Caenorhabditis elegans: one gene and its partners. The protein of the gene in region 1 interacts with the protein of each later gene in a pairwise test. Each region holds a gene or a part of one and is shown on either strand. Other genes may lie near its edges. The genes, in order: let-60, plc-1 and lin-45.

Evidence for each region.
Region 2: the proteins of let-60 (region 1) and plc-1 interact in a two-hybrid assay, tested with the Caenorhabditis elegans proteins (one study listed by BioGRID).
Region 3: the proteins of let-60 (region 1) and lin-45 interact in a two-hybrid assay, tested with the Caenorhabditis elegans proteins (one study listed by BioGRID).

The regions. Positions count from the first base shown.
Region 1 is NC_003282.8:11,686,770-11,693,222, reverse strand, and holds let-60 (Ras protein let-60), read left to right. Parts: upstream 1-2,134; 5' UTR 2,135-2,145; coding exon 2,146-2,274; intron 2,275-2,969; coding exon 2,970-3,164; intron 3,165-3,221; coding exon 3,222-3,392; intron 3,393-4,117; coding exon 4,118-4,177; 3' UTR 4,178-4,996; downstream 4,997-6,453. Other genes in the region: ZK792.5 (Nucleolar protein 9), read left to right, coding at 5,106-5,396, 5,836-6,453. UniProt on the Caenorhabditis elegans protein: GTP-binding protein with GTPase activity. The level of let-60 controls the switch between vulval and hypodermal cell fates during C.elegans vulval induction. May stimulate the guanine nucleotide exchange factor (GEF) activity of rap-1.
Region 2 is NC_003284.9:10,834,768-10,840,753, reverse strand, and holds the start of plc-1 (Phosphoinositide phospholipase C), read left to right. Parts: upstream 1-2,103; coding exon 2,104-2,139; intron 2,140-5,986. UniProt on the Caenorhabditis elegans protein: The production of the second messenger molecules diacylglycerol (DAG) and inositol 1,4,5-trisphosphate (IP3) is mediated by activated phosphatidylinositol-specific phospholipase C enzymes. plc-1 is a bifunctional enzyme which also regulates small GTPases of the Ras superfamily through its Ras guanine-exchange factor (RasGEF) activity.
Region 3 is NC_003282.8:6,741,405-6,750,351, reverse strand, and holds lin-45 (Raf homolog serine/threonine-protein kinase), read left to right. Parts: upstream 1-1,927; coding exon 1,928-1,999; intron 2,000-2,537; exon of another isoform or gene 2,538-2,631; coding exon of another isoform or gene 2,632-2,652; intron 2,653-2,893; coding exon 2,894-3,064; intron 3,065-3,226; coding exon 3,227-3,409; intron 3,410-3,460; coding exon 3,461-3,583; intron 3,584-3,635; coding exon 3,636-3,896; intron 3,897-4,255; coding exon 4,256-4,555; intron 4,556-4,605; coding exon 4,606-4,729; intron 4,730-4,902; coding exon 4,903-5,117; intron 5,118-5,162; coding exon 5,163-5,285; intron 5,286-5,502; coding exon 5,503-5,761; intron 5,762-5,807; coding exon 5,808-5,904; intron 5,905-5,953; coding exon 5,954-6,365; intron 6,366-6,886; coding exon 6,887-7,114; 3' UTR 7,115-7,814; downstream 7,815-8,947. Other genes in the region: smg-7 (DNA/RNA-binding domain-containing protein), read left to right, coding at 7,922-8,002, 8,048-8,395, 8,598-8,698, 8,748-8,860, 8,914-8,947. UniProt on the Caenorhabditis elegans protein: Protein kinase that participates in the induction of vulva and has roles in fertility and viability. Acts downstream of the Ras protein let-60. Required for progression of developing oocytes through the pachytene stage.

The DNA of each region.
Region 1 (6,453 bases):
TTTTAATATCAAATTCTACTGGAAAGTATGTGTCATTTCTTGTTGACACCACTATTTTCAAACTAAATAAATACCACGATAATTATATATTTTGCAAAAATTGTTCAAAAAGTATCAAGTTTTCTCGTTCTTGGCATATTTCATGCAATTTGTAATTCTTTTTGTCTCAGTTATGTCATAACTTTTTCTAAAAATCCTAAGTTATTCTAGATTATTTGGGAGCAAACATTTTTAGAAATTCCCAAAGTAGATTAACAAAGAAAATTCAAATATAAATCTACTGGACATTCAAAGAAAAGCACTTAGACAATTTGAATCGAATTCCTCAAATTCTTGAACTATTTTTTAGAGGATTTCAATTGGACAGAAAGAATCTCAAGCACTTAACGTCGGCGGAAATAGTTTTTTTTTTTCAAAAAGAGACCACCGCCTTTGCTAGAAACGAAAATTGCATGCGTTCCATTAAATAATTCAATTCATCGTTATCACCATCCTTCGTCGTCGTCGTTATCGTCAGAAACAGATAGGGATGGGTCGATACAAAAAGAAAGTGGACAGTTCTTTTCTCTCACTCTTTTTCTCTTTTACAAATCACACTTGTTTCGTCTCACACACGCTCACTTCTTGTCTCTTCTCCCAACAGTCGTCGCAAAACCGTCAAAAGCGTAGCGGCTGTCGCGTCGCGGTCGTTCGTGTCTATGCATCACCGTTTCTAGTGCTCTCTAATTGTCCCGCCGTAGCAGTAGCAGCAGTAGCAGCGGCATGGTGGGGACCGCACTCCTTTATCTTTTACTCTTACTTTGTGTGTGTGTATGGGGGGTGCGAGAGAAAGAGATAAAAAAGAAAGAAAGAGAGAGTGTGTGGTTTCTGTGCTTCTGTGCACTCCAGAGCCTCGGATTTCTTTTCCTATGAACTTCATTTCTCGTCTCCATCATCAGAAGGAAGAAGAATTCTTCAGAATCTTGCACTTGAAGCGTTTTCTGCCTATTTATTTTCTCCTCCCGAGTTCATCTCTCTATTCGTCTTTAGCTTAATCCATTTTATTAGGCACGCACCCGCTCCTTGGTTCAACCAAATGAGAAGATAGAAAAGATGGAGCAACGCATCCCAAATTGTGTGATAGGATTAAAGTAGTGTGGAAGAAAAAAAAATGCAGAGTGAGAGAAGGGGCAGTCTTCTTTTCCGGTCTTACTAATCCTAACGTCTTCTTTTTCCTTCCTATCTCTCATCTCTCAACTTCTGAAATAGTTGAGATGAGTGATTTCGTAAGTTCATTATTCTTTTTTGTCAGTTTTTGCTTATAGTTCCTACGGGAATCATTGTTTCTTAAACATGCTACTTCTTTAAACAATTTATATTTAACAAAGTAAAATTGAACGTTTTTTTAAAAACTTTCTAACTGAATTTCGTAAATTTATTTGTTTCCTTGTGAAAAATGCTTGTCAGGAAAACTTTACTTCTCTACGTCTCAATCTCTGCAATCTTTTAACGAGAGATCGGAGAATTTTGTATTGGAAAAGTGAAAAAGAAAAATGAAAGAGACCCACTCGACACTGAGGGCGACCGAAAAGAAACCGACGAAAAAAAACGACGATTCGAGCCATTTGTCAGCGACAATAAGTGGTCGGGTCGCACCACTGTCCGCCGTCTCACCGATTTTAACATTATATTGTCCCCCTTTTTCTTCATCGCTTTGAAATCAATTTTTGATGAAGTGAAGACCTTTTTTCTCCTGGTTTTTTTTTTAATAATTGCATTACCCCATTTTTTAAAGTTCAAAATTACTCAAACTATTTGAATTCTTCTTTTTTTCAAATTGTAATGACTCATTCTCCGTCGTCTTCAAATAGTTACTCATTCCGACTCACCACCTAGTTTATTAACAGGAAAGTTCATTCTTTTTCTATCTTCTCAATTATTCTCAAGTAGTCATCATCGGTTTTTTATTTCTTTCCTGGTAGTTACTCTCCTTTATCGAAACTTTTTTTTGAAAAAAAAAAGAAACGGAATTCTGAGTATGCCGATAGGCAGAGCTGCTCTTTGGCAGTGCTCCCACAGAAATCCTTCTCCACTTCGTTTTCTCATTTCCATCTCTATTTTACATTTTTCCATATTCAACTATGCGTCTTTTTTCAGAAAAGGGTAATGACGGAGTACAAGCTTGTGGTAGTTGGAGATGGAGGAGTTGGTAAATCAGCACTCACCATTCAACTCATCCAGAATCACTTTGTCGAAGAATACGACCCGACCATAGAGGACAGCTACAGAAAGCAGGTGAGAAATCATTGGGAACATCCGCTACACACATGTGGTGGGAGCAAATTGAACGAAAATGATGGCATTTGAAATTGAACAAAAAAACGATGAGTCAGAAGTTTGGAAGTTTTTTGAAACACATCGAGCTGTTTAATTGATTCCAAAGACGAATAAATCGTGCTGAAACACGAAAAATTCCGAAATTTTCGAAAAAAAACCAATTTTTCGTGTTTTGGACACGACATTATAAAATGGCTGGAACTGAAAAAAATGGCTCGAATCATGATTTTTCATTGTCCCCCGAAAATTCTCACAAAAAAAAATTGGAAAACCGAAAATTTTAGTTTTTGCAAAAACCGGAAAAATTCTGAAAACACTCCAAAATCGATATTTCTCAGACGAATTTCAATAATTACATTCCGTTTTACGTTTTATACAAAAAACAGAAATTTCACTTTTTTTTTGAGAAAGGGCCCAAAACTTTTTTTTAGATTTTTTGTTTTTTTAAAGCAAATCGATAAACCAGCATGCCTGCTCGTGTCGTGTGAGGAGTATAAATTTTTTTAAACGTATATTCATCTTTAAACTCTGAAATTCAGAATATTATTGAGCCCTAATTTTCAGTGTTTTCATTTGAGTTTTTAACCAGTAAAAATAGTTTTTCAGTTTTAAAAATTGCTCCGAGAGCTAGTTTTTAAATATTCTAATTTCAGGTTGTGATAGACGGTGAGACATGCCTCCTCGACATATTGGATACCGCCGGACAAGAAGAATATTCGGCGATGCGTGATCAGTACATGAGGACAGGCGAAGGATTTCTGTTGGTTTTCGCCGTCAACGAGGCTAAATCTTTCGAGAATGTCGCTAACTACCGCGAGCAGATTCGGAGGGTAAAGGATTCAGATGATGTGAGTTTTTTTTGTTGAAATTATCAGTCAATGGTTGAATATTTGTATTTCTTCTAGGTTCCTATGGTCTTGGTAGGGAATAAATGTGATTTGTCATCTCGATCAGTCGACTTCCGAACAGTCAGTGAGACAGCAAAGGGTTACGGTATTCCGAATGTCGACACATCTGCCAAAACGCGTATGGGAGTTGATGAAGCATTTTACACACTTGTTAGAGAAATTCGCAAGGTAATTTTTTAGTTAAAAATTTAAATTAAAAATAATGTTTTTAATGTACAATTAAGGTACAAATTCAGTCATTATTATATGAAAATTGAAAGACGCGAGATTTTGATATTTTCGCGCCAAAAATACGACACCCGGTCTGTTCGATTTGCTCCTTCAAATATTATGGTAACTTTATACTGTCGTTACAGCGGAATTTTCATCAATTTTTTTAAGTTTTCGATATTATAAAAATATTTAAAAACACAGCAGTTTTAATAAATCGGTGAAAATTACCCCAGAAACGAAATATTAAAGTTACTGTATTCTTTAAAGGCGCACATACGTTTGCATTTAACACAAATTCATCGTGTCGAGACCGGGCACCGCATCTTTAATTTGAAAATCGCCAAATGTTGCATTTGAGTAATACAAAAACGTTGTTTTTAAAAATTTTCTGTTTTGTAAAGCTCTAAAATGTTATTATTGTTATCAACAGTTTCAAGTTTCCATTTTTCACTAAAAACGAAAAATGTAAGTTTTTCCGATATTTCGAAACAAAAGCTCAAAGTTTTGGTCATTTTCTTAATTTTTAAAGAAAATTATATGTTTTCTTTTGTTTTTTTTCTCACCAGCATGCACAAAATCTGATAAAAAATTGAGTTTTATTGTTAATTTTCTAAAAAAAATTTTGATGACACCCTAGATTGATATCCGAAAGATTTAATAATGTTTTCTTTTTATTTCAGCATCGTGAGCGTCACGACAATAATAAGCCACAAAAGAAGAAGAAGTGTCAAATAATGTGATTCAGCGTCGGGAATTGCCCAATTTCGCCAACTCATTTTCAGTCGTGTCAACTCCCACCCAATTATCCTTTCTCGTACTTTTTTGGTACATTTTCATTATTCATTTATCTGTTTTATCTGAAACTTGTGATCGATCCTCTTCCGCCTCTACATACTCTTCGAATTTCCACCTTTTTTTCTCTATGCATCGATTGAACTTGTTCTCTCGTCTGCTCGTCATTATTTTTTCTCCTTTTTTTTCTTCATCCTTCATTCTAATTCCTCATCTTTCGCTTAGCCCAAATCTCCATTCATTCATAGGTGTCAAAACTAGCTGTAGTGTGTGATCCATATCTAAAACATGCATCCGAACCCCCTCCTCGTTCCAAAATTGGCCAACTCTACCAAAAAAAACATCGCACCATTTTTTTTTCACTTTCTCTGCATATTTTCAGAATGTTTGTATTGCTTTTTTGATGCTTTATTCCCCTTCCTCGTTTTCATACAAATTATTGGCCTCATCTATTTTCAGAAGTTCTCTGAAAATTAAATTCTTTTGCATCTGCCGGTCGTTCCGTTTATTTTTTCTCTGTTTCCTCTCATTTTTGTCAAGTAATTATTTCTCTTTCATTAACTATAATATAGATACAATTAGACCCCATTTCTCATACATTTTCTGAACATCTGAAAGTTTTTGCTCCCTCGTATTGCATTCATTTTTCTCTATTCCTCTACATTTTATAGTCCTATCTGAATATAATATTCCTATTCTTTTGATCAAGTTTTTATTATTATTTTATTTTCAAGGAAGTATTGCAATGATATAAATTTTAAAAAGCTAATATTATTTTTTTAAATCTATTCAACTATATTTTGTTAATTTCAGTGTTATATTTTGACCTCGCCATCGGAGCATGATTTTAAAAAAAACTAAATTTAATTTATTAGAATGACGAGAAAAAGGAAAAATGTAGAGTCTGATGAGAATCCTCCAGCGAAAAACTCATTTGAAGGATACGGATATGCTGCTGCTGATGCTGAGAAGAAGCCACAGGAGGAGAGAAACAATTTCAGAACTTTTCTAGCCAAAAATGAACGATTTGGAAGTGGAAATCGAGGTGGAGGAGGTCGTGGAAGAGGAGGAGATGGTGGATTTAGAAGAAATGATAGAGGTGGACGTGGTGGTGGTGGAAGAGGATTCGGTGGTAACAGAGAATTCAGTGCCGGAGATTTTGAGAAGGTTTGTGTCAGATGGTGTCGTGAGTGATGTAGCGTCTCTGGCTTTTTAAACTCAAAATTACAGAAAAAGTTTCGATATGTCGAGTTAAAAACATTTCTAAAATTTGTATTATTTTGCAAAAAATAAAAAAAAGCCGAATTATTTTTGAATTTTTTAGTCATTTTCCTGGACAAAAATTGTTCAAAATGTGGAATTATAGGTTTTAGACCAATTTCATTTTATCGAATTTCGTTCGGATTTTCGAGGTTTCTTTCCGAAAAACTGTCTGAAAAAATGAGCGCGGGAATTCACAAATATTTCAGTATTTTTTTGAAATTGAATTTTAAAAAATTTATATTCGATATATTGAGACTTTTTTCTGTGAAGAATCGATAAAATGAACTCCAAAGCGCTCCCTAGGCAATTACCACAAAAACGTATATATTTATTTAATTTACAGCAATACGGTCGAGTTGGCGGCGGTGATGACACGAATTCAGGACAACCGGATAGCTACGGACAAGCTGATTCGGCTTCATTCAACGACTCTCGACCAGATGGAGATGGTCGTGAATTTCCGAAAGAAATTGTTGGTTATCTGAGAAGTATTGAACAAATCAAGAAGAAAGAGGGAAAAATTGAAGATTTTATTCTGGAAAAGTGTGCTGAAGAAGTTGTTGGCCAGGAGAAAACTCTTCTCTCGTGGACAGAAGCAGCCGTTGTTGTTGAATCTGTATTTGGAAGTTGTCCTAAAGGAGCAGCTCTCTTCCTTTCATCGATTTCTCGTCTCAAGCATAAAACATTAGCTGAGCTGATTTTCGGAGGAGCTAGTGCTAGGACAATTGAAAATTTGATATTCTCGATGTGCCCAATCGCCGAATCAGAACATGTGGAGATTCTTCAAAAACTAGCAGGAATTCTTATGGATAACTGGGCGGATGCTGTTACAACACAACCTTCGAGTTTTCTGATTCGAGCTATTGTCTGGGTGTGTTGTGGATTGTCAGCAAGGCCAAAGGTTGGAGAGGAAAAGAAAAGAAATTACAAAGGACAAGAAATGAAGGCTAGCTTGAAGAAT
Region 2 (5,986 bases), on another chromosome or scaffold:
GAAAAGGGGAGTTTTTGGGTTTTGTCTAATTGGATTTACGGATTATTAGTTACAACGTTTAATTGATTTTGAGGTTTTTTCAAACAAAAATAGCTGATTATCTATTGTTTTATTGATTTATAGTATTTTTTTTTCATTGGATTGTCTGGATTCCTGATTTTAGTGAGATTTCGATGTTTTCATTGGCGAATGTTAGAGTTAGAGTCAAAAAGTTAGAGTTAACTATGAATATATTTACAAAAATTAAAAAAAAGTGATTTTTATCGGAAAAAAACTTGCGACAACAAGTAGTCAGAAAGTGCCAATAATTATGAGTGCTGGAGGAGGCTGATTTTGACCAAGCTATTTCCTGATAGTGAGAAATGATTAAAAGCAATTTTCGAAAACAAAAAAATCGGGCAAGGATGGGAGTGATCCCCAATCAATCACAATATCGCTGGCGCATGCTAACCACTACGCCATCCTGCCCACGCTCATCCAATTTCCAATAAATCCATTAATGGAAATGATAACGCATATAGAAGAAATCACGCATCAGTCCGCGTATTCTAATGATAAACAGCTTCTATTTCTCATTTAAAAGCAACAAAAAATCAATAAAATAAATCGTTACGAATTCATATTTTAAATATTTTTTAACCAATAGAAATTTTATTACTATAACGAACGGACCATTTTTATTTAATCAAATTCGGGTATTCAATTTGTTTCACAAAAAAAATGACAAACACTTCAATGAAAATAAACAATTACGAAATGAGAATATGAATACCTTTTTTGAGTACACTGATTGAGAAAAGTCCAAAAGTTGTTCACGCGAACACCCCATTTTGCACAATATTAAATATTTTGGTTCGCTGTTATAAACTTTAATCGTTGAGATGTTACTTGATAAAGAAAATTAAACAACGTTTAAACACTTTTTACAACAATTGTTTTTCTCATTTTTGGCCGTAATGGTCGCAAAACCTTCTATGCAATTTTTTGGAAAAAAATTGAAAAGACCCGAAAAAACGAACAAAATTGCAAAAATAATTCTTAAATTGGACAGTTCCATTATTCCGCACTTCTGCAAGAGAACTTCACGCTACGGCGTGAAGTCCTTTTAACTTTCTTTGGAGAGCATTTGCCCATATGTATTTTACCGCGTTATTTCGTTCGCAAAAAATGTCATCATGATGATACAGTTGAGCACATGAACCCAACAAAGAAAATACAATAATATTCGAGCCTTTTGTTACCGACCAAGACTGAATGAAAATTCGCTCTACACGCAATGTGTGCAAGCGCAGGAGAAATGTGCCAATCAGCACCCTTGGCGCAAAAGAAGATGAAGTGGAATTTCACGAGTTTGATTAAAATTGAATTGAGATGCCGCTGGAAGATAACAAATAAATAACGAGTAAATATCGAACTACATTGCCTTTTTTGCATTCGAATGGTCGGCAATATGATACCGTACAGTTTTTAATTTTGCCGTATGATGCAAAGCAGTTCAATTCAAAAGTTTTTAAAGAAAACTATTTGGGCTTAAACAAGTTTTCATTGATAATTAAGAAGCAATGGTACTTGGTGATTGACCGAGATAACAAAAAACTCAGTTGTGCCCTGATTGAAAATTTAAATCAAAGTGTTAATGTAAATTTACAAATAACTGGTTCCAACTAGAAACAGTTAATAATGTTACAAAAAGGTTTCGGATACGCATATTTTCATTTTTTAAGCAATTGCATGTTCTTTTTCTGCATGATTGAAGTCTGGACACAAAATATCGGAACAAATTCAGCATGAAAAGTTGCGCGAAGAAAAAGAAAAAGCCGCAACTCTTCAAAGTAGTAAAACATTAATGAGATTGAACTCGACGTTTTTGATTAGAATAAGTGCACAAATCTCATACATAATGCAAAACTGGTGTCACGGAGCAATTTGTTGTCGGATTCTTCTCTTCTTCGTTTTTCTTTCTTCCATGCACAGAAAGACATCTCCTCTGTGTGCATAAAGTTCATTTGTCCAAAGAAAGAAAGTAATCTGTCAAAGTGGATACCGGAGAAAATGAGTGTATCATCGACATTGTCGCAGTTCTTGCAACACATTCTTCGAGAGATGTCCTTACGCCAAGCATCACACAAATTTCCATCGGTGAGTTATTTGTTTTACGCAAAAAACTGATTTAACAGGTTGAAATAGTTTTAAATTTGTTTAGTTAATTTTGTAAAATTAATCAAAATCAAACAAATTTCCTAATAACCAGGAACGCTACGAACGACTAATTGATTGATCAGTTGAATTTCGAGTCTTTATTCAATTTCCACAGTTGCTACCTATAAGAAGCTACAAGAGTGATAGTGAGAATAAGTTTACAAACAAGATTTTTTTACACGCATTCTTTGCGGATTTGTCTTGGCAAGTTTATTTTTAAAATTTGTGGGTACTCTTTTAAAATTACTGTAGAGATTTTGTTCGTAAATCTCTTTTTCCCGTTGTCTCTTTTTTGTTCCTAATTTACACCTTTTTTCCAAAAATTCTGCATTTTATGTAATCGGGTTCTGTTTATTGTTCATAATGAATGTTTAAAAAAAAACAAAAATAACATTGTGACGATGTGCACTCAAAATCTCTACAGTAATTCTAAAAGTGCACACACCAATGTTTAAAAAGGAAATGAAATACAAAAAAACATAGCGTTACTTTCATTTTTTCAAAACTGGAATACATACAACTTTTCCAAATAGAAAAAGGTTGAATATGTATATTCATTTTCAAACGTAATACTGATAAATATTATTCAAAATTGTCGAATGTTGCTTCAGAAATTTCAGCTTTCTAAGTTCCGTTTGTTTTCTTCATGTCAATTGTTTTATTTATTGGAGTTATAAGATAACAATCGGACAGTAGTAAAACAGATAGCTCATCTTTCCCTTTTGCGACTCCATCCCCCTTTTGCATTGTACTTATTCTGAGGAGTTGGCGGAAAATGAGATTAGGGCTGGAATCAAGGGATTAATTCATGAATATGGGGGAGATATGACGAACAAGGTATTCTTTTCATTGATAAAACACAGGAAGAAGCACGATAAATCTGGCTTCTTCTTTTGTACACAATTTTTTTTGAGAAATATTAATATTGAATTTTAAAAATTATATATGATTGAATGGAAACTATTTCGGTAGTTTAAATAAAAATGAGAAAAGTTGATAATGCTACTAGTGTCAGATATCACATAGCTGCCGACATTTTATTTTCGTTCAAATAAGACAACCCCTAATTATCGAATTCCGGACAAGTAATTTCATTGTTTTTTGTTCCGCTCACCACTTCTTTTTTTTTTTGGAGCATTCTGTCCATGTCTTTCTGAAAACACTAAAATAGGCTAAAACTCGAAACTTCTCTCCGTTATTTTCCTCCGGAAATTAGTTGTTTCAGAGGTCTGCCAATACTCGTATAACTTGCCATAACATAGATAATACTCCTATATCAATTTTGAAATCTTTCTTTCTCTGTTTTCAATATTTCTTTTTTTTTCGAATTACGTTCTTCCTGTGCCGCGTTTGCCGATTGCCCATTTGGCAATATTCTATCGCTAAACTCAATCTTTCACATCCCCCATTTTTCATTTTCCACCCGCTTCCTTTCCAATTTTTAACACATTTTCTCGTTCGAGATTACGTACTGCAGTGTGTCATGTGCAGCACATTAGCCCCACAAGTTTCCGTTTTCTCGTACTTTTCTGCTCATTTCCTGATTAAAGACGAAACTTGTTGTATTTGGTGCAGTTTGTGATGATCTGATTCTAGCAAAACAAATCGCGTCATTGACAAAAGTTTTGATGTAACCATGTCTATTTGGATAGAATATGTTTTATAGATGTAGAACCTTGCAGCTTGCAAAATAGTTTAGTCAGCTGTAAGAAACCTTTGATGAATCTAATGGCGTTTTTTGGACTTTAAGTTCAGATCCATGTCCAAAAATATCAAAACAATTAAATAGTCCATTTTAATCTAAAATTATTATGACTCATATTTTACCAATTCCATCGGTTCTCACCTTCTTCGAAATTCTACTTAAATTTGCAACTTCAAATATCTGAATTAGGAAACATGTTTTGTGTGTTTGTAGGATATTTATTACAACTAACCACAATTTTGAACATAAGCAAAATTGTAAATGAACTTTCTTATTAACAGTTTTTGAAATTCAAAAAATTGAGTTATAGCTGATAAGTCGTTTTCTAAAAAAACTGTTTTCTAGAAAATCGAAACTATCCAAATGCTTTATTGGAAATTTTTGTACAATTTAATGTTAAAAACTAAACGTTTTGGATAGTTTGGCTTATTTTTCGCTTTTGTGTTCAGTCGGAGCCCTTTTTTAATGATTTTTTTCAATGAAAAAAGTTTAACGCAAACTTAACTATTAGGAATTTATTTTAAGGTTTAGAAACTAATAAGCCAAAAATTCAAAAAAGTACTTCAACACATTTGTGTTTCCAAAACTATAAACAATGAACAATAAAGGTCTTGTTAAATCAAAAGATTGGCCAATTTACCACAGCATGGTAATGCGGTGCACAACTATTAAAACAATATGGTAAACTTAGGTGATAAGGTTTTTTACGAAAAAAATCTTGTACTTTCTGAAAGCGTGATATCCTTTACGTGATAAGTCCAATGAAGCATAAACATTTCTTGTTGGAAGTCTATTTTTTTCTTGCTTTAATATTATTTTAGTTTTCTGTCCGTTTTCTTTCTCTCTCAGCAGGTGTTAGTAACACCGTTTGAAATTCAAATTTTTCATTTCGTATCACAGAAATTTCAAAGAAACCATAATTCTATGCACTCACTTCTCTACTTTGATTTGAGATTAATTATGACTAAATTTTTTTTGAACACAAGAAGTTTCGCCCATTTCTTTCCCTCAAATATTGCTTCGTTTTTCAGTGATTTGGAAAAATTGTGGTGAACTAGTATTAAGGGATTAGAATAGTCGAGCCAAAGATAAGGAGGATTCACTAATCCGTGTTTCTCAATAATTTTTCTTTTGATAATAAAACGAGTAAGTGTCGAAGAGATTGAAGACTGATGAGGACAAAAAATTAATCTCAACATTGTCCTTGATGCGTCATTGAAAACAAACGGAAAAAACTGAAACTGAACTTATTCTGAACCAAGTGAAAAAGCCATGCAGCACCATTCCTTGTTTTTAAAACGGAAAGTGCAGTATAAGTTTGCCGACTTTGTTCGAGATACGTTTTCATATTTCCACTGTACTCGGCTTTCAGCTTCTCATTTCTTTCTCCCTTTCGTTGTTTCCCTTTTCTGTTTTTTTAAAGCCACAAAAACTCATAGAGTAAAGCCGAACGGAAACATGTCCTTTTCTTTTTATTTGTTTTTTTTTGAGAAAGCAAAGAAATGATAAAATGAAGAACTTACTAGATGTAGGAATTATTTCCATAGTTTTTAACCAAACTAAATAAATTCTAACCCTTATCATATCATGTTGTACAACATTACTTATAGTTTTGAAATATCCAACCAATGTGATATGATTAAATTAAACCTCATAAGCCAGGTTTGTGTCGGATTTTGTGAAAAGCATAGTAAAAATATGAATATAGTCATCTTAATATTAACTGTAATCAAAATTCGGAAATAAAAGTTTTAATTTTATCTTGACGACATGCTTTTCGGCTTTACTAATGAAATCTTGAGAGAAATGTTTGAGAAAAATTTAAAACGGCATTTGAAACATTCTACAGAAAAAATAAACAATGCAGTTTCTGTTTTTCAATGATGATCTTGAGAACAAAAACATACCACTATTTAATAGGGCCAATATCGTTTAGCAAGAATGACAAATTTTTTATTCTAGACATCACGAAAATATTTAGAGACTTTATCCCCAAGCATTCGAAACGATCAGAAACCGAGTAGTTCATAAACTGGAGCACTGATTGACACAAAATAATAAAGTGTTTTCAATCAGTCAATT
Region 3 (8,947 bases), 4.9 Mb from region 1:
TTCTTTTGCACCGAACTGATTTAAGATCAGTAGAGTTCAAGATACTCAGAGAAGCTGAGAAAATCAATGATCATGATGTTTTTGGTGACCAGAAGGAGCAAAAGAGCAAGAAGGGAAAGATGGAAAGGAGGAAGGAAAAGCAATCGAACTATACAAAATGTAGTAAAAAGACAAACTTTGAGTACAACGAGCACACAGAGTATGAAGAGGTTTTTGAGCGACTAAACATAGAAATTTTTTCACTGTTTCAAGGGATCTAGTTTAAAATCGAAAAATCGATTTTTCGATTATAATCTTTGATTATAATCTTTGAATAGCGTTCAATTTGAAATGTCCAATGCTCTTAAACTTTTAACTGTAGAGGTAGATTTGGTGTTAATTTCTAAAGCTGGCGAAAACCTTGCAATAGATACTTTTAAACTTTTTTGGAGCTCGTTTGAGCATGTCGGCTGAAAATTTCTGAAGACAGGACGTCCCAATGTACGATTCAAAGTTAATTTCGATGAAGCCAAATTTCTGAATTTCTGTTGAAAATCTATATTAAGAACTACGATATCTCACATTAAAATGAAAATAATTGTTATTTTGCGAACTACAATTATACTGAAATAGGTTTTTTTTTGAAATTCTAGTGATCAAAGAAATTTGAAAAAGTTTTGTATAGTCAACATTAGATCAAAATAATGCTTTCGTAGTTTGTTTATTTAAAACTTTTAATAATAATCTTTAGAACCTCAATCTTTTTGATAAACCAAAACAAATATTTGATAGAAAAATGACCTCTTTGATGTGGAATATAGTGTATTTTGTTTCTTTTTTGAGGAATTGTTCGCACTTTTCAAGTGGAAATTGGCGGAAAAAGATGAGAATAGAGTGGAATGAAGAGGCGGAACGAACAAAACACATTTGATGCGCGATCCCATTGATTTTTATTCGTAGAATTTGGATTTTTTTCATAGATTTTTCAAAATAGATTTTTAGACTCACGCTTATTCCTCAAAACATGTATCAACTCAGATGGGTCTCGTCGCGAGAAAACACATTAAGACATATGTTTTAATCTCCGTGATGCCAGCTGCTTTTATTCTGCTTTCCAACTTTCGAAAATTTAGTTTCAAAATAACTGTTTAAAAGTGGTAAAGTTGACAAATGTTAAGATAATAAGTTGATAAGTAATACTTAAGTTAAGTTGATTCCAAGGAAGCAAATGATACCAAATTTTTCTAAATCCTAGAATGAACTATTTTTTCGTGGCAAGACCAATCTTAACAGATCAGTTCACTTTTCAGAAAATTTGAAAATTACCATAACGTAAAGGTAATCAGTTGAGTCATGTAATCCCTTTTTTCTCAAAAATGTCCACATTCTGCAAAATCTTAGTTGCAATATGTCACAGACATTTGTCTAGTCTGTCAGTTTCAGATAAACTTTTCCCGTTTTTTCAACTTTCACAGCTAATTCGGGGTGTACTAACTAGAAGTAGCTTATTAACCAAATGTCATCTAGTTCCTTCTTTTATAATTTGATTAGTGGTTTTTTTCGAATATATTCTTTTCTAGTTTGTGTTTTGTCACGTATGACCTTGTTTCTTCAAATCAACTTGCTGCTCTCTTCACAAACTAAGGTCATCTGTTTCGTGTTAAGACCCAACGCTGAAAACATTGTCAACCTATTCGTGGCACGTGTCGCTCCCGATTTACACGTTTCTTTTTCTTTGCTCTCTTTTTCTATCTCTCTCGATCAGAGCACAGAAACCAGTGAGAAAAAATAGATGGCGAAAACAAACCCCGCCTCTCTTTTTTTGTGTGTGAAGAGAACCATTGGATCCAAAGGGGCCCCTGTTAACAATATATTTTTACTTTCTGAAATTCTTCTAAAGTTATCTGGAGATAATTATATTCCATAATTGATCACATAACATTTTAAAATGTCTGCAATGGCTGTACTGTATTCAGTTTGTCACTTTCATGGAGGCTGGAATCGTCGGAAATCGGCACCAGTAAGTTGAAAACTGATTTAAATCAATAGGGTACACTCTGTGAAATCATAGTGATATTTGAATAATCAAATGACTTTATGAAGCAACCCGCGGGGCTTCTGTATTGAGAAAATACACGATTGCATTTAAAACTTTGCGAACACAATTGTTTAATTGGCCAGCAAATTGAACATTCGTGATTCCTTTTTTGAACATGGGAATCCCACGTTTCATTCGTAACATCTTTTTCAATACAAGTTTTAACTTTTCTTTTCAGCTATCGAGTTACTGTAGATTTGAAAAGTTAATTTATCAACTAATGAAAATAAACGTATTCCATATTTCCATTAATAATAGATTTATTTAAAGCTTCACTCCATCTACATAAATTCATATAACCGAGCGCAACGCTGTCCTTATTATTTGAAAATTCTAATAAACCCTGCAAAATCTGGGTTAAAATCTTCTGCGCGAAAATGGAAGAGAAAAGTGTGTTCGGCCCGCGGACTAACTCCCTCCGTGTACTCTTCTCGGAAAAGAAAAAAATCATCTTTGCGCCCCTTACCGCCGCTCTCTTTCTTTTGTTGACCTTCTATCTGCGAATATATTGATTTTCTGGTTTATTTTATTTTGGAATTAACTGCAATTTTCACATGGAATGCTCTCGCGAAACGGTGTGTTTTCGAACGTTTTCCACAAATAAAATGAAAGTGAAAAATGCTAAAGGGAAACATTTATTTGTTCAGATTGTTTTAAAAAGTGCTTCACAATAATAAAATAGAGCATCTGAAAAGTAATTTACTTATTGCTTGTTCTGATTTCTCAAATGTCCTTTAAAAGTCCGTGTTTAATGTTTTACTCGTCCAAATTGTCCTTTTGTTTTTTAATTACATGTAATCACTAACAGCAATTTAGAAGTCACCTGTCACATCATCTCAAACGCCATCATCATCGTCGACACGCCGCCGAATGAGTCGGATTAATTTCAAAAAGTCATCGGCGTCGACCACCCCGACGAGCCCACATTGCCCATCTCCGCGGCTTATAAGTCTGCCGAGATGTGCTTCTTCATCTATTGATCGGAAGGTAGAAAATTAGCAACGAATCCTTTGTCTTGAATTTTTTAACACTAATTACATGTTACTTGTGGGGAATCGTGTTAATCTATTCAATTCAGAATCAAGCGTCCACTTCTCATTCCAAAGATTATCAATTAAATATTTATATGTAACTCATAATTATTTTCAGGATCAAGCTTCGCCGATGGCAAGTCCTTCAACTCCTCTTTATCCAAAGCACAGTGATAGTCTTCATTCGTTATCTGGACATCATTCCGCTGGAGGAGCAGGAACAAGTGACAAGGAACCGCCAAAATTCAAATACAAAATGATTATGGTTCATTTGCCATTTGATCAACATTCTAGGGTTGAAGTAAGCAAAAAATTCACTGTGAAACGAAGAAAATAAGCACATTTTGTTCAGGTTCGTCCCGGTGAAACCGCGCGGGATGCCATTTCGAAATTGCTCAAAAAACGGAATATCACACCTCAATTATGTCACGTGAACGCGTCATCTGACCCAAAACAAGAATCTATTGAATTATCGGTGTGATTTACTGGAATCTAACAGCATAATTCTTATTTTTGAATATTTTCAGCTGACAATGGAAGAGATCGCATCCCGACTGCCTGGAAATGAATTATGGGTTCATTCAGAATATCTGAATACAGTCTCATCGATTAAACATGCAATTGTTCGAAGAACGTTTATTCCACCGAAATCATGTGATGTATGCAATAATCCTATCTGGATGATGGGATTTCGATGTGAATTTTGTCAATTCAAATTTCATCAAAGATGCTCATCGTTTGCACCACTTTATTGCGATTTGTTACAATCTGTACCGAAAAATGAAGATGTGCGTTCAGAACAAAGGCGGGCGGCAATATTACAAAATTACCAATGTTGTCCCAACATTTGTCATTAACGTCGAAATATAGAAAACCACATTATTTATCTAATGACAACTTTTAATTATGTTTAAAGATCTGTGAAAATGCACAATAATGGCCATTTGCCATAGGCAATTCGCAACTTCTAGGTCATTTTTGTGCATTTTCATAGATGTTTAAACATAATTAAAAGTTATCATTAGATAATTAAGGTGGTTCTATATATTTTTTACACTGATTTTTAATGAAAAATGTTGGAACAACATGGCGTAATTGCTCACCTCTGCTTCAGAAACAATTCTTATCTAAAACATTTAATTTTCAGCTAGTGAAAGAACTCTTTGGGATCGCATCACAAGTCGAAGGCCCAGATAGATCAGTTGCCGAAATAGTTCTTGCTAATCTAGCTCCAACGAGTGGACAAAGTCCAGCTGCCACACCAGACAGTTCTCATCCAGATTTGACGAGTATTAAACGAACGGGTGGTGTCAAAAGACATCCAATGGCTGTTTCTCCACAGAATGAAACATCTCAATTATCTCCATCCGGACCTTATCCACGGGATCGGAGCTCTTCTGCTCCGAATATCAATGCGATTAATGATGAGGCAACAGTTCAACATAATGTAATAGTCACCAATTTTAAAAGAAAAAGTCTAAAATGTATTATTTTCAGCAAAGAATTCTTGATGCATTGGAAGCTCAGCGATTAGAAGAAGAATCACGAGATAAAACTGGATCGTTACTTTCAACACAAGCACGTCATCGACCTCATTTCCAGAGTGGACATATTTTGTCAGGTAATCGAAAACAGAAAACATAACGATTCGTCAAAAGGTCAGGGAAGAAAAACAAAATTCCAAATTTAAGACGTTTTTCTAAAGTTATAAAAACAATTTTTACTCTATTCCACCTTCAAGAATTTCCCAAACGACTCTAATTATTTTAATTTCACTTATTCTCAATTATTCAGGAGCTCGAATGAATCGTCTTCACCCACTTGTTGACTGTACTCCTCTTGGCTCGAATTCTCCTTCATCTACATGTTCATCACCTCCAGGTGGCTTAATCGGACAACCTACTCTTGGACAATCCCCGAATGTATCAGGATCAACGACGTCATCATTAGTAGCCGCTCATTTGCATACTCTCCCATTAACACCACCACAATCAGCACCTCCTCAGAAGGTAGAATTCAAAAAAATCTATTTTTCTTCAATTAAAAATGTTTAGATTTCACCTGGTTTCTTCCGAAATCGTAGTCGATCGCCAGGCGAACGACTTGATGCACAACGACCCAGGCCGCCACAGAAACCACATCATGAGGATTGGGAAATATTGCCGAATGAATTTATTGTAAGTTTATTCTACATCAGCAAGGGTGCACGGCTTTTGCAAACCGGCAGTTCTACAAAAGGAGCATGTTATCCTAATTTTTTTCATTTAAATTCAGTGATCGAATATAGAAAAAAAACATTTTATTTATCTGAAAATAGCTTTTTTTTTTACAGTTGAAGCAATAAAAAAACGCTCAAAACTTCTGTCAAAACTATTAAAACAAGCATTCTTTTAGATTCAATACAAAGTTGGTTCGGGATCCTTCGGTACCGTCTATCGTGGAGAATTCTTCGGAACTGTTGCTATAAAAAAGCTGAATGTTGTTGATCCGACGCCTTCTCAAATGGCAGCCTTTAAAAATGAAGTTGCAGTTTTAAAGAAAACACGTCATTTGAATGTTTTGCTGTTTATGGGATGGGTTCGAGAACCAGAAATTGCAATTATTACTCAATGGTGTGAAGGATCGAGTTTGTATAGACATATTCATGTTCAAGGTGATCTGAACTGAGATTTTAATTCTTATAATTTAATAATTTTCAGAGCCACGCGTCGAATTTGAAATGGGTGCTATCATTGATATACTGAAGCAAGTGTCTCTTGGAATGAATTATTTACATTCAAAAAATATTATTCATCGGTAACTGACCATATCTATAATTTATGTTTAAATGTTTAAAACATTTCAGTGACTTGAAAACGAACAATATATTCCTTATGGATGACATGTCAACGGTAAAAATTGGAGATTTCGGCTTGGCAACTGTCAAAACGAAATGGACAGTGAACGGAGGTCAACAGCAACAACAACCAACAGGAAGTATTCTCTGGATGGCACCTGAAGTCATCAGAATGCAAGATGATAATCCATATACCCCACAGTCTGATGTGTATTCTTTTGGAATATGCATGTACGAAATTCTATCTTCGCATCTACCATACTCCAACATTAATAATCGAGATCAGATATTGTTTATGGTTGGAAGAGGGTATTTGAGGCCGGATAGATCGAAAATTCGACATGATACGCCGAAGAGCATGCTCAAATTATATGACAATTGCATTATGTTCGATAGAAATGAGCGGCCAGTATTTGGAGAGGTGAGTGGGAAATACCGACTTTAGAAATTTGGTAGAACTATGATTTATTATGGGGTTATTCATGAGTGTCAAAAAACTTTTAAAAAATCGATTTTTTGTACTTTGTACATGTTTCGACAGCGTCGACGAGCGAAAAACTACAGTAAGCCGCCATGCGGCGAGACCATACGTTTTCATATGACTATGTCTCTTCAAAAGTTGTGTAAATTTACGAGCTGGGCGTTCTCCCCGTGTACACCGCGAGGACAATTCGGAATTTATTTTCTTCCAGTACTTCACACATTTTCGCTCTTTTTTTTCACATTTAAAATTGGCAGTTTTGTCTAAATATGGTGGCTTCCTTTGATTTTTCACTCTTTGACGCTGTCGAAAAATGGATAAAAACATGCTTTTAAGAAATCGATGTATTTTTTAAAAACATTTTTTTCGCTCATGAATAACTCCACTACACTGAAAAATCCAAAAAAATATTGTAGTTTGATTTTTAAATAAATTTTAATGAATGAATTCCAATTTTTCAGGTTCTCGAACGACTTCGCGACATAATTCTTCCAAAATTGACTCGTTCTCAATCAGCTCCGAATGTTCTTCACTTAGACTCGCAATATTCGGTGATGGATGCTGTAATGAGAAGCCAAATGCTTTCCTGGTCATATATTCCACCTGCAACTGCAAAAACCCCACAATCAGCAGCAGCAGCGGCCGCTGCTAACAAGAAGGCATACTACAATGTCTATGGTCTCATTTAGTTTTATTTTGTTTTTTTTTTTGAAAATCAAGGGACACTGCAACTTTTTAGTTGATTTTCTCGTCTCTCCCCGAATATGTACCTTTATTTTCTCTCTTTTTTCTATTCTTCCCAGTGATTTTCCCTACCCCATGTGTACACTAACCAAAAAACTTCCAGTCGAAGAATAATCTCGCCCATCGTTATTTTACTAATCATTTCTCGTCACATTGAATCCTGTTCTATTATTCACCCCCTCATCACCCATCCCGATATTATTATTATTATTTTAACCCCGTATTCACCGTTTCCTCCAAAACTTAAAAATCCCACCAAAATACTTTCTTTCCAGTCTAAGTCCGCCTGCAATCGTTCCCCCATGTGAAATTGTGATAATTTTCATATTTTTGTTTCGGCTAAACCGGTAGAACTTTTTCTTTTCCAACTATAATGCTTTTTATTGAAAACGTTTCTTTTGATAAGTTTTCAATGTTCCCACCCCATTTCCGTTTCCAAACATCCCAAAGATTCTCTGTATGTATAGAATTATATAGAATCCAATGCCTATCCGTTTTGTTTTTGTCATTTCGAACACATTTTGAAACTTCCATTTATTTTAATTTCAAAATGCAGCATCCCCATTCCTTTTCTGAACCGGGTTATTTGAATCATTTAATTTTTGCAAACAAAAAAAGTTGAAGATAAAATAATTTTTCGCCTGACTTCCTGTTTCTTCTTTTGAGTGGCTAGAAAAAGTGTAGGATTTCAGATTAATATTTTAAAATTTGAAAAAAAAACAAAACAATTTTGTTCCAGAGGATTCCACAGGATGTCGGACGAATGGGAACAGCTTACTGTAGAGTTGAGAAAAATTCCACGTGGCACCGAAGCTGCACCACAGTATTTGAGAGTAAGATTGAGAGGTGTTGATTTATCGAAATGAGAATAATTCCAGCATTTAATGAAAATGTTTGTCGCTGACTTCGAAACTGCTGTATCCAAAAGATTCGATGTAAAATTCTGGAATAAACTGAAATCAATGATGGATGAAATAACAAAAGCAATGGAAAATGATCGACTTGTTAATCATAATGTTCAAAATCTTGCAATTGGATTTTTGACTGATTTATCACTTCTTGTTCATTATCATTATGAAATTCCAAATTATGGAAACGATATCTCAAAACAATTAACATGGACACCAGATGTATTTCTAAACAGAAAACCTATCAAGTCGAAAAAGAATAGTCGAGTGTTCATGGCTTATGTTCTGTTAAGAATGGGAGATTTAATGAGATATAAGGTAGTTTTGAAATTTTTTCATAATTTTGGAAACAATGATGTCAAAATTTGTTTTTCGTTTTTCGAAGTTGATCCAACATGGACCAAAAGAAAAATCGAAAAAAAACCCGAAATTTTTAATTTTTCGATACCAAAAAATTCTAAAGAGCGAAGGGTGTCGTTTGGGTAGTATTTTAGAAAAATCATATAACATTTATTTTCAGGAGAACTACCCAAAAGCTCAGGAATATTACGAGCAATCATGCCGCATTAATCCAGCTGATGGAGCTGTCTGGAATCAGCTAGGATTGATATCTTCACTTGGGTAATATTCAAAATTCCATAGATTTCAGGAAAAAGTTTACAATTTTCAGTGCAAAAAACCTGGAAAGTGTCTATTTTCATACACGAGCTCTTCATGCCACTATGGAATTCCCAACTGCTTCTGGTGGCTTAACGAATATTTTCAAAAATTTTGCAAATCGAGGTACTGTAGGATTTTCATTGAAAACCTAGATATCAAAATATGTCTGTTTTCAGATATTTCAAGACCAATGCCTATTAAAGATCTATA